2 linked regions of the Arabidopsis thaliana genome follow. The protein of the gene in region 1 interacts with the protein of each later gene in a biochemical or structural test. Each region holds a gene or a part of one and is shown on either strand. Other genes may lie near its edges.

Evidence for each region. The genes of interacting proteins can lie anywhere in the genome.
Region 2: of the proteins of CYCB1;1 (region 1) and CDC27a, one has a biochemical effect on the other in vitro, tested with the Arabidopsis thaliana proteins (one study listed by BioGRID).

What each region holds. Positions count from the first base shown.
Region 1 is NC_003075.7:17,621,376-17,626,189, forward strand, and holds CYCB1;1 (CYCLIN B1;1), read right to left. Parts: upstream 2,934-4,814; 5' UTR 2,834-2,933; coding exon 2,794-2,833; intron 2,526-2,793; coding exon 2,347-2,525; intron 2,250-2,346; coding exon 2,064-2,249; intron 1,974-2,063; coding exon 1,848-1,973; intron 1,760-1,847; coding exon 1,511-1,759; intron 1,428-1,510; coding exon 1,269-1,427; intron 1,190-1,268; coding exon 1,008-1,189; intron 920-1,007; coding exon 754-919; 3' UTR 511-753; downstream 1-510. Other genes in the region: AT4G37480 (Chaperone DnaJ-domain superfamily protein), read left to right, coding at 56-221; AT4G37483 (uncharacterized protein), read right to left, coding at 218-445; AT4G37500 (Aldehyde oxidase/xanthine dehydrogenase, molybdopterin binding protein), read left to right, coding at 4,013-4,252, 4,406-4,540.
Region 2 is NC_003074.8:5,527,658-5,535,260, forward strand, and holds CDC27a (Tetratricopeptide repeat (TPR)-like superfamily protein), read left to right. Parts: upstream 1-1,655; 5' UTR 1,656-1,876; coding exon 1,877-1,984; intron 1,985-2,468; coding exon 2,469-2,541; intron 2,542-2,642; coding exon 2,643-2,752; intron 2,753-2,891; coding exon 2,892-2,938; intron 2,939-3,112; coding exon 3,113-3,210; intron 3,211-3,329; coding exon 3,330-3,619; intron 3,620-3,782; coding exon 3,783-3,911; intron 3,912-4,136; coding exon 4,137-4,314; intron 4,315-4,489; coding exon 4,490-4,701; intron 4,702-4,817; coding exon 4,818-4,883; intron 4,884-5,018; coding exon 5,019-5,138; intron 5,139-5,334; coding exon 5,335-5,411; intron 5,412-5,642; coding exon 5,643-5,762; coding exon of another isoform or gene 5,763-5,796; exon of another isoform or gene 5,797-5,848; coding exon 5,849-6,068; intron 6,069-6,279; coding exon 6,280-6,561; intron 6,562-6,751; coding exon 6,752-6,808; 3' UTR 6,809-7,077; downstream 7,078-7,603. Other genes in the region: AT3G16310 (mitotic phosphoprotein N' end (MPPN) family protein), read right to left, coding at 1-449. UniProt on the Arabidopsis thaliana protein: Component of the anaphase promoting complex/cyclosome (APC/C), a cell cycle-regulated E3 ubiquitin-protein ligase complex that controls progression through mitosis and the G1 phase of the cell cycle.

The sequences.
Region 1 (4,814 bases):
TTAGTTGTTGTTTGTGAAGTAATCTAACTTATATATGACTTTTTGTATTCTCCAGGAGACTGCACCCAGGTATCTACTTGCTTACACTAGCATATCGTACTCTTGATCTTGAAGATGAAAAGAGAAGGAAACGGTCAATATTGGAGATCCTCGAGGCACGGTTATCTAAAACATTGGATTGGTGTAAAGAATTGGTTAGAAGAAAGGGCCTTGGAACTTAATATGGTAAACCTTCTCCCTTTCCGGATGAAGATCCAAAGATGATTGGATTTACAATTTCCGCATGGATGCTAGCACTTCCATTTAGACTTATGAGGTTGTGGCTAACAAAATGCTCACCAAAGATGGGAGTGCTTAGTTGTTTAAGGGGATCTTGCAGACCAGAAGGTGGTTTTAAAACCCAGAATGGACGGGACCAGAAGGAACACAAGAAATGGTGAAACATATACTGTGCTGGGGTGTTTGATCAAAAAAAAGAAGAGAAATTCTGTGTTGGGGAATGAATCATGTGTACTAAAGAAGTTAAACCACAGAATATTATATCTAAGGAAATTAAACTTCTCGGAAGAAACTGACTTCTTACAAGATATGCAGTGTTTGGGAATGAATCATGCTAAAGGACTAGGTTTCAAAGCGACTCATTAGACTTGTTCAAAATACCATTATCTAATGAAACTAGACTTGATTTTCAGAAGGAAAATGAAACTAGGCTTGGTTCTTCAGCTTCTTCGTCTTCTTAAAGGGTCCTAACTCCTAAGCAGATTCAGTTCCGGTCAACAAAGCTTTGGCCGGAGGGATCAAAGCCACAGCGAAGCGTTCGTCCTTGGAGTATTTCTTTCGTAAAGCTCCCTTAGTACTGCTCTCACTCCCTTCTTCTTGTTGCTTCCATTGCTGATACGCCAACAGCTTTGCACAGTCCCTTTTTCATCATTACAACAAGAATGAATATCCAACCACAAATGCAAAACGCATATGATGCAAATGAAAAAAGAAAGGAACTTTCTTACATGAGCTGAGTCTCAGAATAGCCAGTGTGATGCTTGAGAGTGCTGGTCCATATGGGAACTTGGCGGAGAGAAGATCTTGCTGCGTAGATTGCAGAAGCAGCTACCATTGATGGACTGAACATTATCATCGTATCGTAATGCATTACGCCTAACTCAGCCAAATAGTGCACCATATTCTCCATCTGCAAACCAAAACACAACTGAATGTTCAATATGATGAAATGTATAACCATGGAAGAAACTAAAAAAACGCTCTCTTACCTTTTCGTCTGCAATGGAAGCTTTGATGAAACGAGCTAGGAAGACATAATGAGTCGGAACTGTCAAGTACCACTCAAGTGTAGACAGTATTGTCTTCTCCATCACCAGAATCTGTTTGTGACTGTATGCATGGTCTGCAATATCAACTAGATCCTCCACCTGCAAAAGAATTATCTTTTCATTTAGCCGAAGACAAAAAAGAATCAAAACCAGAAGATTCAAAAGTTCTCTGTTTTTATCACCTGTGGTGGCCAAATTTCTTCATACTTGGCCGACATGAGAAGAGCACTGAGACCAACAAGCTGCAGTTCTTTTCGAGGCACTGGCTTAACCGACAAGAACCGATCCAGAATGTTAACAGTGAGGTAAAATGTTTCCGGGTTTAGCTCGAATCGGACATGCACATCAATCAACCACTCCACCAGGATCAGTCTCATCTTTTCATTAATATCAGGCTGAGATGCCATGTAATCTCGTGGCCTCCATTCACTCTGCCAATCCAAATGATAATTTAAGTAAACAAGTTAATACTACAACAAAGCTGCAAGGAAAGATTCATGAATAGTATAGTATACAAACCTCAACAGACTTGTAAAAACTGTAAATATCTTCCACATATTCCACAGCTGCGAGGTCATTCTCAACATCAGCAGAATCGATATCAACAATCTTTTCTTTCTGTTTCTTCTCTAAACCACAAGCAGCCTGAAAAGCAAAAGAAGTTTATTCAGAACAGACCAAAACATTTTCTTACTTCACACTAAAGAATCATCATTTCACAAGGTAAAAAATTACCTTGCTTCTAGCAGTAAGAACAGATGTGTAAGTGGTCGCTTTCTTCTTAGTAGCCTTCTTCTCTCGAGCAGCAACTAAACCAAGTTCTTCATCACTGTCTGAACTTATCTCAATCACGTCTACTACCTTTGGTTTCCCAGCCACTTTCTTCGGCTTTGGTACTGCGTTTCTCTTGACTACAGGTTTCTGCAGATCAAAGACATATACACATATGACATGAGTTTAACAAATCTAACGAAGAAACCTAATTTGTTCACCAAAATACAGGGGAAAAGGAACAAACTTTGAGATTATCCTCCACAAGAAGCGTGGGATTTTGAGATCGTGTACGAGGACGATGATTGATCTTTTCCGGTTCGTTGTTCTTTGGGTAATTTCCTCGAACAACATTACCTATATCACCAAGAACTTGACGGTTTCTTCCTTTCGCTACGTTTTTGCCATCTACCACAACAACATCATCTTCAACACAACAAAACAAAACCAAAGTTAACAACTTTAGATTCAATTTGCAACAATCATCAGCCATATCAAATCAAGAAAATTCCAGTCAAAGCCACGGACTTTATACTTGATTCGCAACATATTCGTTTCGTTGTTCATAGATATAACAAGAACAGAAAGAAACGAACAAAACCCAGATACCAAAATCGAAGATCACAAACTAAACCAAATCAAATTTTGTCCGTAAAAACCTTAAAAAAAGAAAAAGCAAAGATCTTTCTCTTACCCGTGGATTGTTGAGGAACAATCGAACGAGAAGTCATCATCTTAGTGTTCTCTTCTCTTTCTCTCAGACTAAAATCTCAGGTTTGTAGTAGAAAAAGTCTAAGTAGTGGGGGCGTCTTCTATATAGGAGGCTTCTTGAGGACGATGAGCCGTTTTATAAGAAATAAAAACAAAATTAAAGAAAATAAATGAACCCCAACGGTCTGATTGTTTTTGAAAAATTAGAGGTCGTGGGCTTGTTACGGGCCTTACGGCTGTAGAGACACGAAATCGGGCTTTTTCACTATTGGGATTTTGAAGTCACAACGGCCCACTTATTCTTTTTATTGACTGTGAAGGATATAGGAAAAAAAAAAAAAAAAAAGATTTGTGTGAATTAGATTGCTAGTTAAATCCGGTTAGTTAGATGTTGATCTCTGTTTGGTTTACATGGTTTTGAAATGAAAATTGATTTTGGTTCGGTTTGCATTAGAATTAGTACGGTTTAGAGAAAAAAAAACAAAAAAAAAAGTCACTCGAGACTGTTTTGGAAACAAAGCGAGTAGATGTAAAATAAGCATGATTTTGTGGGTTTACCCCTACAGAAATCGACGACACGCGCTCAACGCGAGGTTGGTGCGAGTGGGCGTGGTCTGTAGCGCGTGGCACGAGGTTGGTGCGAGTGGGCGTTTTCTGGTGCGCTCTGATTGGCTAAAAAAATGAAAATAGTAGTGATGCTCCTCCTCTATTATTTTGTTTTTCGTCATTCCTCGGTTATGAAAGTTGTGTGGTTTTAAGATGGAATTGAGTTTATTCTGAGGTTTTTAGTTATTTTGAAATCATTGATTAATGTCACCAAAAAAAATAGAAACTAGATTTTGAGATACTAAAATTTTCATTTTCATTTTGTTCTGCAACCATTGAAAACTAGATTCAGCTGAGCCCCTGAAGAAATCAAAGTGAGTTGAATATTTTTCTATAAATGTGAAAATTGGTAAAAGTTTGTCCTCATTTTGTTAGTTTAATGTTTTCTTGACTTTAGGAGATGAACTTTCAACTGCAAAGATCCCATCACACATTAATCTCACTCTCTTCCGCACATTGCATGGTGTGGTGTAGCTATGGTTCCCACACAATTGTCATATTCATTTACCACAAAGTTCATGAATCATGTTAGAAGTGAATCCTTTTTCTTTCAAATTTAGTCATCTCTCGAGGAACTTTAAAGGTAAAAGAATAAGATGAAGCTTCCTTGGAAATCTCAGCATTGCACTACCTTTGCTTGCAAATCTAGAATCTGGATTTTAAGATACTTACTCCAACACATATTATTATTACAGGCCGGTGCTCTTGTTCATGTTTGCACCAATGGGACTGTTTTGGTGACACATGGAGGTGTTGAAATGGGTCAAGGATTTGCATACAAAGGTTGTGTCATTCCCCTTAGTTCAGTTTTTGTGTCAGAAACAAGCACATACAAGGTACATCTAACTCGGTTACATGCACTCAGTGGACTTTTTGGCCAAGACAAAACTGATATTGTTCTCTCTTATCATTTTTGTGGTCTCTTAATAGGTTCCAAATGCCTCACACACTGTTATTGCTCCCTTGTCGTTTTGATTGCCTCTTAATAGGTTCCTAACGCGTCACCTACTGCTGCTTCTGCGAGCTCTGATATGTATGGTGCTGCAGTTTTAGACGCTGTTGAGCAGATTATAGCTAAATTGGAGCCTGTTGCATCTAAACACAATTTCAACTCCATTCGCTGAGGGTAGCTTTAGAAGAGCTCAAGTGGGGAGATGCAGCTCATACATGGATTTAACCAGGAGCTTTACTCACTTGCAGACCTGGAAACTACAAAATACCTTAAGAAGAAACTTTACTCACAACATTCAGTTTCTCTTCTCAAGGTATGCAACCATAAGAAGAAGCTCTTTGAATTGGTGGCAACAAATTTGAAACTGATGAACCTAAGATTATACTGATGAAGCTCATTTTGCTAGTTTAAAGTTTTCAACTTTTCACCAAAGGTAATTAAGCATT
Region 2 (7,603 bases), on another chromosome or scaffold:
ACAGGAGATCCCTTCCCTTTATCATCCTGCTCGGTACTACTACCTGCCTTTGACTGCGACCACCAACTCGGACTCCCTGAAACTTGCTGACTCTGTTGTGCATTCAGTAGAGAAAAAGAAGGGCTTGCTTCCAACTTTCCTTTACCAGGAGTTACAATATTCTTTCCAGAACTCTGGAATGGTGTTCTTCTGTCAGACTTAGCATCTGGAGACGCAGAGTAGTCTGCAATACCAGACTCAGGAGAGAAATCGGACCGGTCATCCAAAGTATACATTGGAGGTGGTGGAAGATCAGATCCTCCGAAATTCTCACGCCATAGTGCAGATACCGCAGCTGCCTGTCCCGGACTCGAGAATTTCCCTCTACGTGCTGAAACAGGAGAAGCTAAATCTTGAAATAGCAGAGATTGCCTCCCTGATTTAGGAGTCCTGTGTGCTGCAGCACTCATTTTCTACTCAATAGAGTTTTATTTATCTCCCTGCAAAGACAAAAAATCATATAGCTTTGAGCAAAATTACATAAGAAAGCTAAAAAAACAAAAACAAATCAATTTTGCGACTTTAATTCACTTGGGCAAGATCAATATTGAATCTTGCGATTGAAATCACTAATCTAAGCTTAGCTACGGGTTTCTAGAGGATTAATCGAAAGAAAATTGAGGAAAAAGTTCAACAAAATCGCAAGTTACTGGGTTTTAAACGAGAAGGTAGTAAGATTGACGCCAATCATCGAAGACAGTACACAAATAGGAGTAATCACACTATCTAATGGATCGATGGAGAGGGAGAGAGAGAGAGCAAACCTTGAGGATGAAAATGGAGGTGTTTGAATTTCAGCTTTAGGAATCCCGGAGAAGCTCAGGTAGAGAGCTCAAGGGCGCGGAGGGAAGGTAAGTGAAACCCTAGAAACCAAGATTCTGAAAACGCAAAATTCAAGCGCCTTACGAAAAATGACGAAAGTAGCCTTGCATTTGTACAATGGGTTTGAATTGGGCCTATTTGGAAAGTTGTTGGCCCAGAAGGTTTCTTCAACATATAAAGGAATAACCATCAAAATTCTCAATCCAACATGGTGTAAAATTAAATGGTTGTAACTTGTAAGCTAATTTGTGTTATTATTTTTTTGGTCAACAATACATAAATATCTAGCATATACTTACCAATTAGTATCCTTAAAATGTGAGAATTCTATTAGCATTAATGCAATATCTCTCATCTTATCCTTAACTTAATTTAAAGAGATTTTGAGTATGTTTTCACAAATACTTTTCTAAAATAAGAAGAAATACTCAAGTTAGAATACGTCATCGTTTTAATACAAAAGATCGTTTTGAAAGGTTTAAGAGAAAATTGCCGCGTTTTTTTATCTAACGGTTATACAAAAAGTCGTTTAGGGTGTGAAAAAATTATCGCGTTTGTTATTTAACGGTCACATAAAAGATCGTTATGGGAATATTGAAAAAATTGTCGCGTTTGTTACCCAACGATTTTACAACAAGCAATTGCGTTTAAGATACATTATAGATGAATTTCCATAGTTATAAATTCAATGTTTAAGCTATATAATTTCAGTTGCATATCTAAATTTGGGGCACTCTAATCTTACTTCATTTGTGTTCTTTGTCTGAAACTTGATTTCTATTCCAGAACGCGATTTTTTCTTAAAACGCCAAACGCGGTCCTTGTCTTGTTGTCTCGTCCACCAAAAAAATCTGGGGCACTAGTGTCACAAAAATCACACGCTCGTCGCGTGAGAAAGTTAGGCTTTTGAAATACTTTAGCGGCGCGCGATTACTTAGGCGACATTACACACACAGCCTCCGAGGAACAACAACAACATCGATTGTCTCGTCAATTTGGTCATCATCATCATCAGATGATGGAGAATCTACTGGCGAATTGTGTCCAGAAAAACCTTAACCATTTTATGTTCACCAATGCTATCTTCCTTTGCGAACTTCTTCTCGCCCAATTTCCATCTGAGGTATCTCGATTTCGATTCTTCTATATTCAACTCCATTTCGATTTTCAAATCTTAGCTTCGTCTCTTTCGATCACATCATTTTTAAGATGTGGAGTGACTTTTTTCGTTTTCTCAGTTTTTGTTGCTCTTGTGGTCTGATCCGATCTTCTAGTCGTAGCTGTCTTTTGTTGTGTGACTTTTTGAGTTGTTTGCGAATAGACAATTCTCGATTTATGCGGAGTTCAATTCTGGGCTTTGTTTTTAAGGATCAAACTCTATTTCGATTTTGTCGGAATCTAGAGGATGCAATTCAATTTGACTGAAATGTTTATGATTTTGAGTTGATTTTGTGATTTTATTCCAAACCTGGAATTTCTAGGTTGAGATTTCTGTTTGATGTATGCCAATGTCAATTCAGATTGATACCGTTACTCGAATTTCACATCCCTTGATATATTTTTTTGGTTATGTGAATCTGGTGGTGATCAACTACTTCATTATGCAGGTGAACCTGCAATTGTTAGCCAGGTGTTACTTGAGTAACAGTCAAGCTTATAGTGCATATTATATCCTTAAAGGTACTCTACATTCTTCGGTACTGGTGCTATATGTGAACATTTCATATATTGTTTTATTTGTGTTTGGAAAAACTAAACTTGTTTTACATTGTGAAATGAAGGTTCAAAAACGCCTCAGTCTCGGTATTTATTTGCATTCTCATGCTTTAAGTTGGATCTTCTTGGAGAGGCTGAAGCTGCATTGTTGCCCTGTGAAGATTATGCTGAAGAAGTATATGGCATTGCTTTTTTACTTCTTTTATAAAAATTCTCCATATCCATGGGCATTGTACACATCTTTTGCAAGCTAGTCTTTTGGGAGTGAAAATTGGCAAGTGCTGACTAGTGACTACTGTATTTTTGACATGCAGGTTCCTGGTGGTGCAGCTGGGCATTATCTTCTTGGTCTTATATATAGGTGACTGCTAATTTACTTTTCAAGTTCTGTATGAGATATTGGTGTCTCTCGCATGCTTTAATGTTTAGTACTTCTCTGTGTTGGTATACTGATGCTGTAACAAGCTTAGTAGTTTGCTGCATATGTTCCATTATCTAAGTTTGATGTGTGTTACTCTCTGTTACATGATTGCAGATATTCTGGGAGGAAGAACTGTTCAATACAACAGTTTAGGATGGCATTGTCATTTGATCCATTGTGTTGGGAAGCATATGGAGAACTTTGTAGTTTAGGTAAGTGAAACCTCTGTATGAATTATGTATTTATCAGTTTATGTTTCCGTTATTCCAGCTGGATATCTAGAGCAACAAATTCAATTCTCTGCAATGGCGTTCTGTGATTACCTTTTCAGGTGCCGCTGAAGAAGCCTCAACAGTTTTCGGGAATGTTGCTTCCCAGCGTCTTCAGAAAACTTGTGTAGAACAAAGAATAAGCTTCTCAGAAGGAGCAACCATAGACCAGATTACAGATTCTGATAAGGCCTTAAAAGATACAGGTTTATCGCAAACAGAACACATTCCAGGAGAGAACCAACAAGATCTGAAAATTATGCAGCAGCCTGGAGATATTCCACCAAATACTGACAGGCAACTTAGTACAAACGGATGGGACTTGAACACACCTTCTCCAGTGCTTTTACAGGTGATATAATTAAGTCGAGCTAGTATGAGAACATATTAGTTACTAGCTTGAAATCCTCAGTTATTCAATGTCTACTATCTTCTTCAAGAGCTATATTTCTTTCATAAGGTAATGAGAAGTTTGTAAGCTGTTTTCCCTATCTTTAAGTATCTTTATCGTTCAGGTAATGGATGCTCTACCGCCTCTGCTTCTTAAGAATATGCGTCGTCCAGCAGTGGAAGGATCTTTGATGTCTGTACATGGAGTGCGTGTGCGTCGAAGAAACTTTTTTAGTGAAGAATTGTCAGCAGAGGTTATATATCTACAATGGGCTTTGAGTGATTTCTTCCTTGTTTTCTTTGCATAAGAGTTTTCTTATTAATGCATAGGCGAAGAATGATCATCTATCTAGCACTGCAGATATTTTAAGTTTTTAACATAGAGCTTCCCCCACCTTGTTTCTATCTTCTAGCTCTATGGCTGGACCATCTAAAGCTACTTGATTTATTGGTCTTCTTTTACTTTCCTTATCTTGAAGGCTCAAGAAGAATCTGGGCGCCGCCGTAGTGCTAGAATAGCAGCAAGGAAAAAGAATCCTATGTCGCAGTCATTTGGAAAAGATTCCCATTGGTTACATCTTTCACCTTCCGAGTCAAACTATGCACCTTCTCTTTCCTCGATGATTGGAAAATGCAGAATCCAAAGCAGCAAAGAAGGTGATGTTTTACTATCATATTTTTCTTTTCTGTCTCCCAAACCGGACTATAGAGCCTCAATTGGTTGTAATTTTTGAAATGGAAAAAGTTAGATCTCTAGTTAAAATTCATGATGTAATAATATAGGTGGCTTAAGTAATTTACATGACAATAAGACTTGAACATATATGTGCAGTGATTCCTGATACCGTTACTCTAAATGATCCAGCAACGACGTCAGGCCAGTCTGTAAGTGACATTGGAAGCTCTGTTGATGATGAGGAAAAGTCAAATCCTAGTGAATCTTCCCCGGATCGTTTCAGCCTTATTTCTGGAATTTCAGAAGTGCTAAGCCTTCTGAAAATTCTTGGAGATGGCCACAGGCATTTACATATGTACAAGTGTCAGGTACTTTACTAAGACAATGTGTGTATTGGGTTCATATTCTTCAACTTGAATTCTCTGCTTAAAAGTTAAAGTATCGATGTCGAAGCCTAAAATGACAAAAATGGATACTACTGCAGGAAGCTTTGTTGGCATATCAAAAGCTATCTCAGAAACAATACAATACACACTGGGTTCTCATGCAGGTGATAATATGAATGGCTTTTTCTTTGCTCCTTTTTCATTGGAATGATCTTATTTGGTCATTGACGTCATTTTCTAATTCCATTTTGTTGGTTTTTGACACTGAAACTAAAAACCATGGATACATTTTGAAATAGGTTGGAAAAGCATATTTTGAGCTACAAGACTACTTCAACGCTGACTCTTCCTTTACTCTTGCTCATCAAAAGTATCCTTATGCTTTGGAAGGAATGGATACATACTCCACTGTTCTTTATGTGAGCTGTTGTCACTATTTGCAAATTTTCCTATTATTCATTATGAACAGTCCCGAACTAATCTTGAACATGATGTTGACTCTGAACATTATCCTGTTGTGATATCAGCATAGAGAACTTGATTTTTGATTGACCTGCAAGGATTTCTATGTAATTGTTTTTTACTTTTAGTAATTTCGTATTTTTGTTTTTGAAGCACCTGAAAGAAGAGATGAGGTTGGGCTATCTGGCTCAGGAACTGATTTCAGTTGATCGCCTGTCTCCAGAATCCTGGTATCATTCTTAGAATCTTCATTACCAATATGCTCTTCCGCTTTCGTTTCGCAAAACTTACATGATCAACCCACATATGTCTACGTCGAGACTCTAACACCACAAGCTTTAACCACATACCGTCAATGGAAACCAGCTTTTTGCACTAGCATATCAAAATCTGAAACTGCAGACTTTTCTCTTTGCTTGTATTTTTTTCTGTAATGACTGTGGTCGCAATATGAATTGCAGGTGTGCAGTTGGGAACTGTTACAGTTTGCGTAAGGATCATGATACTGCTCTCAAAATGTTTCAGAGAGCTATCCAACTGAATGAAAGATTCACATATGCACATACCCTTTGTGGCCACGAGTACAATTCTTTTCGATGCATCTTTTGCGCATAATCGGCATATGCATGTACGTTAATAACATACCGGTCTCACCTTGGCTGCACAGGTTTGCCGCATTGGAAGAATTCGAGGATGCAGAGAGATGCTACCGGAAGGCTCTGGGCATAGATACGAGACACTATAATGCATGGTACGGTCTTGGAATGACCTATCTTCGTCAGGAGAAATTCGAGTTTGCGCAGCATCAATTTCAACTGGCTCTCCAAATAAATCCAAGATCTTCAGTCATCATGTGTTACTATGGAATTGCTTTGCATGAGTCAAAGGTATCTGAAATACGCTCTTCACATCAACAATCTGTTAAGTTTAGAATATCGATACCTTTATTCCTTAACCAAACCAGTACACACTAACACATCCCTAATATCATATATTACTCTTTATGACTTTGTGATGTTCTTATTTGGCTGTGAAATTTAGCTTTCCAGAAAGTTATAGTCCAGAGATAATTTTTAAGGTTGAGATAATATTTTGCAGAGAAACGATGAGGCGTTGATGATGATGGAGAAGGCTGTACTCACTGATGCAAAGAATCCGCTCCCCAAGTACTACAAGGCTCACATATTAACCAGCCTAGGTGATTATCACAAAGCACAGAAAGTTTTAGAAGAGCTCAAAGAATGTGCTCCTCAAGAAAGCAGTGTCCATGCATCGCTTGGCAAAATATACAATCAGCTAAAGCAATACGACAAAGCCGTGTTACATTTCGGCATTGCTTTGGATTTAAGCCCTTCTCCATCTGATGCTGTCAAGATAAAGGTTAATTACTCCTTTCCTGTTTTTGCTTCACAAGCATCAATCATGGTCACATTTTGCATTTAGGAGTTGAAATTAGTTAATATGAGATCGAATAATGGATAATTAATCAAAACGTTATATTTCTCATAATCTCATGATAAATCCTTAAAAACTTACTTAATAGAATTTTATTCACTGTCTGTGCCTACAGGCTTACATGGAGAGGTTGATACTACCAGACGAGCTGGTGACGGAGGAAAATTTGTAGATTTATTGTGCAGGTAATACACCAGATTATGTTTCTCATATAACCCAAAGTCATCTGTAATTTTTCTCATCTTTAGATCAGTCTTGTGGACTAACCCTAAAACAAAACTGATTATATAAACTTAGAGGGTAATATTACAGAAAATTGTATAGAGTTGGGTTGAATTTTCATTTCTTTTCCAAGTTGGAACTTTTGTTCCTTTCTCTTTGCATAAAATTTGTGGCACTCATTGCACCAATGGTAACTATCTGGTGAAAGATTTAAACTTTTAAGGCAAACTAAAAAGCAAAGTTTAAAGAAAAAAGGTTTAGCCACAGTGGCAATAATATAGTGTTTTGATTCATTCCTTTTCGAAAAAAGAAAAACTTTTGAAATAAAAAGATATAGTTGTAAAGCGTATATACCAATACCATCATACTAGAAGGCCAAGTCATCTTACAAAACCTCCACTAGTTAAATTTTTGTATGTATGTCATCTAGAAAAGCAAGACCTAATATCCATATATAGATGGCTATAATACATAGTGCAATCTAAAGTACAACTAAAGTTGATAATACAATTCAAATTTTCTTTTTCTTTTCCATTTTTTGGGTTATTGAAATCCTAAAGCTATTTCACAACATATTAATATGTTTGTGTAATGTTCCACGTTTAAGTACTTCTTTTCGTAGAAAAGTTTTTCTCTTTCTCTCCTCTTTATAAATCCCACACACATTGATCCTTAGTCCATAAGCAAATATCAAAGCCAAGAAAAACAAAACAAAACAAGAGTCTCATTATCTCTCTAATTCTAA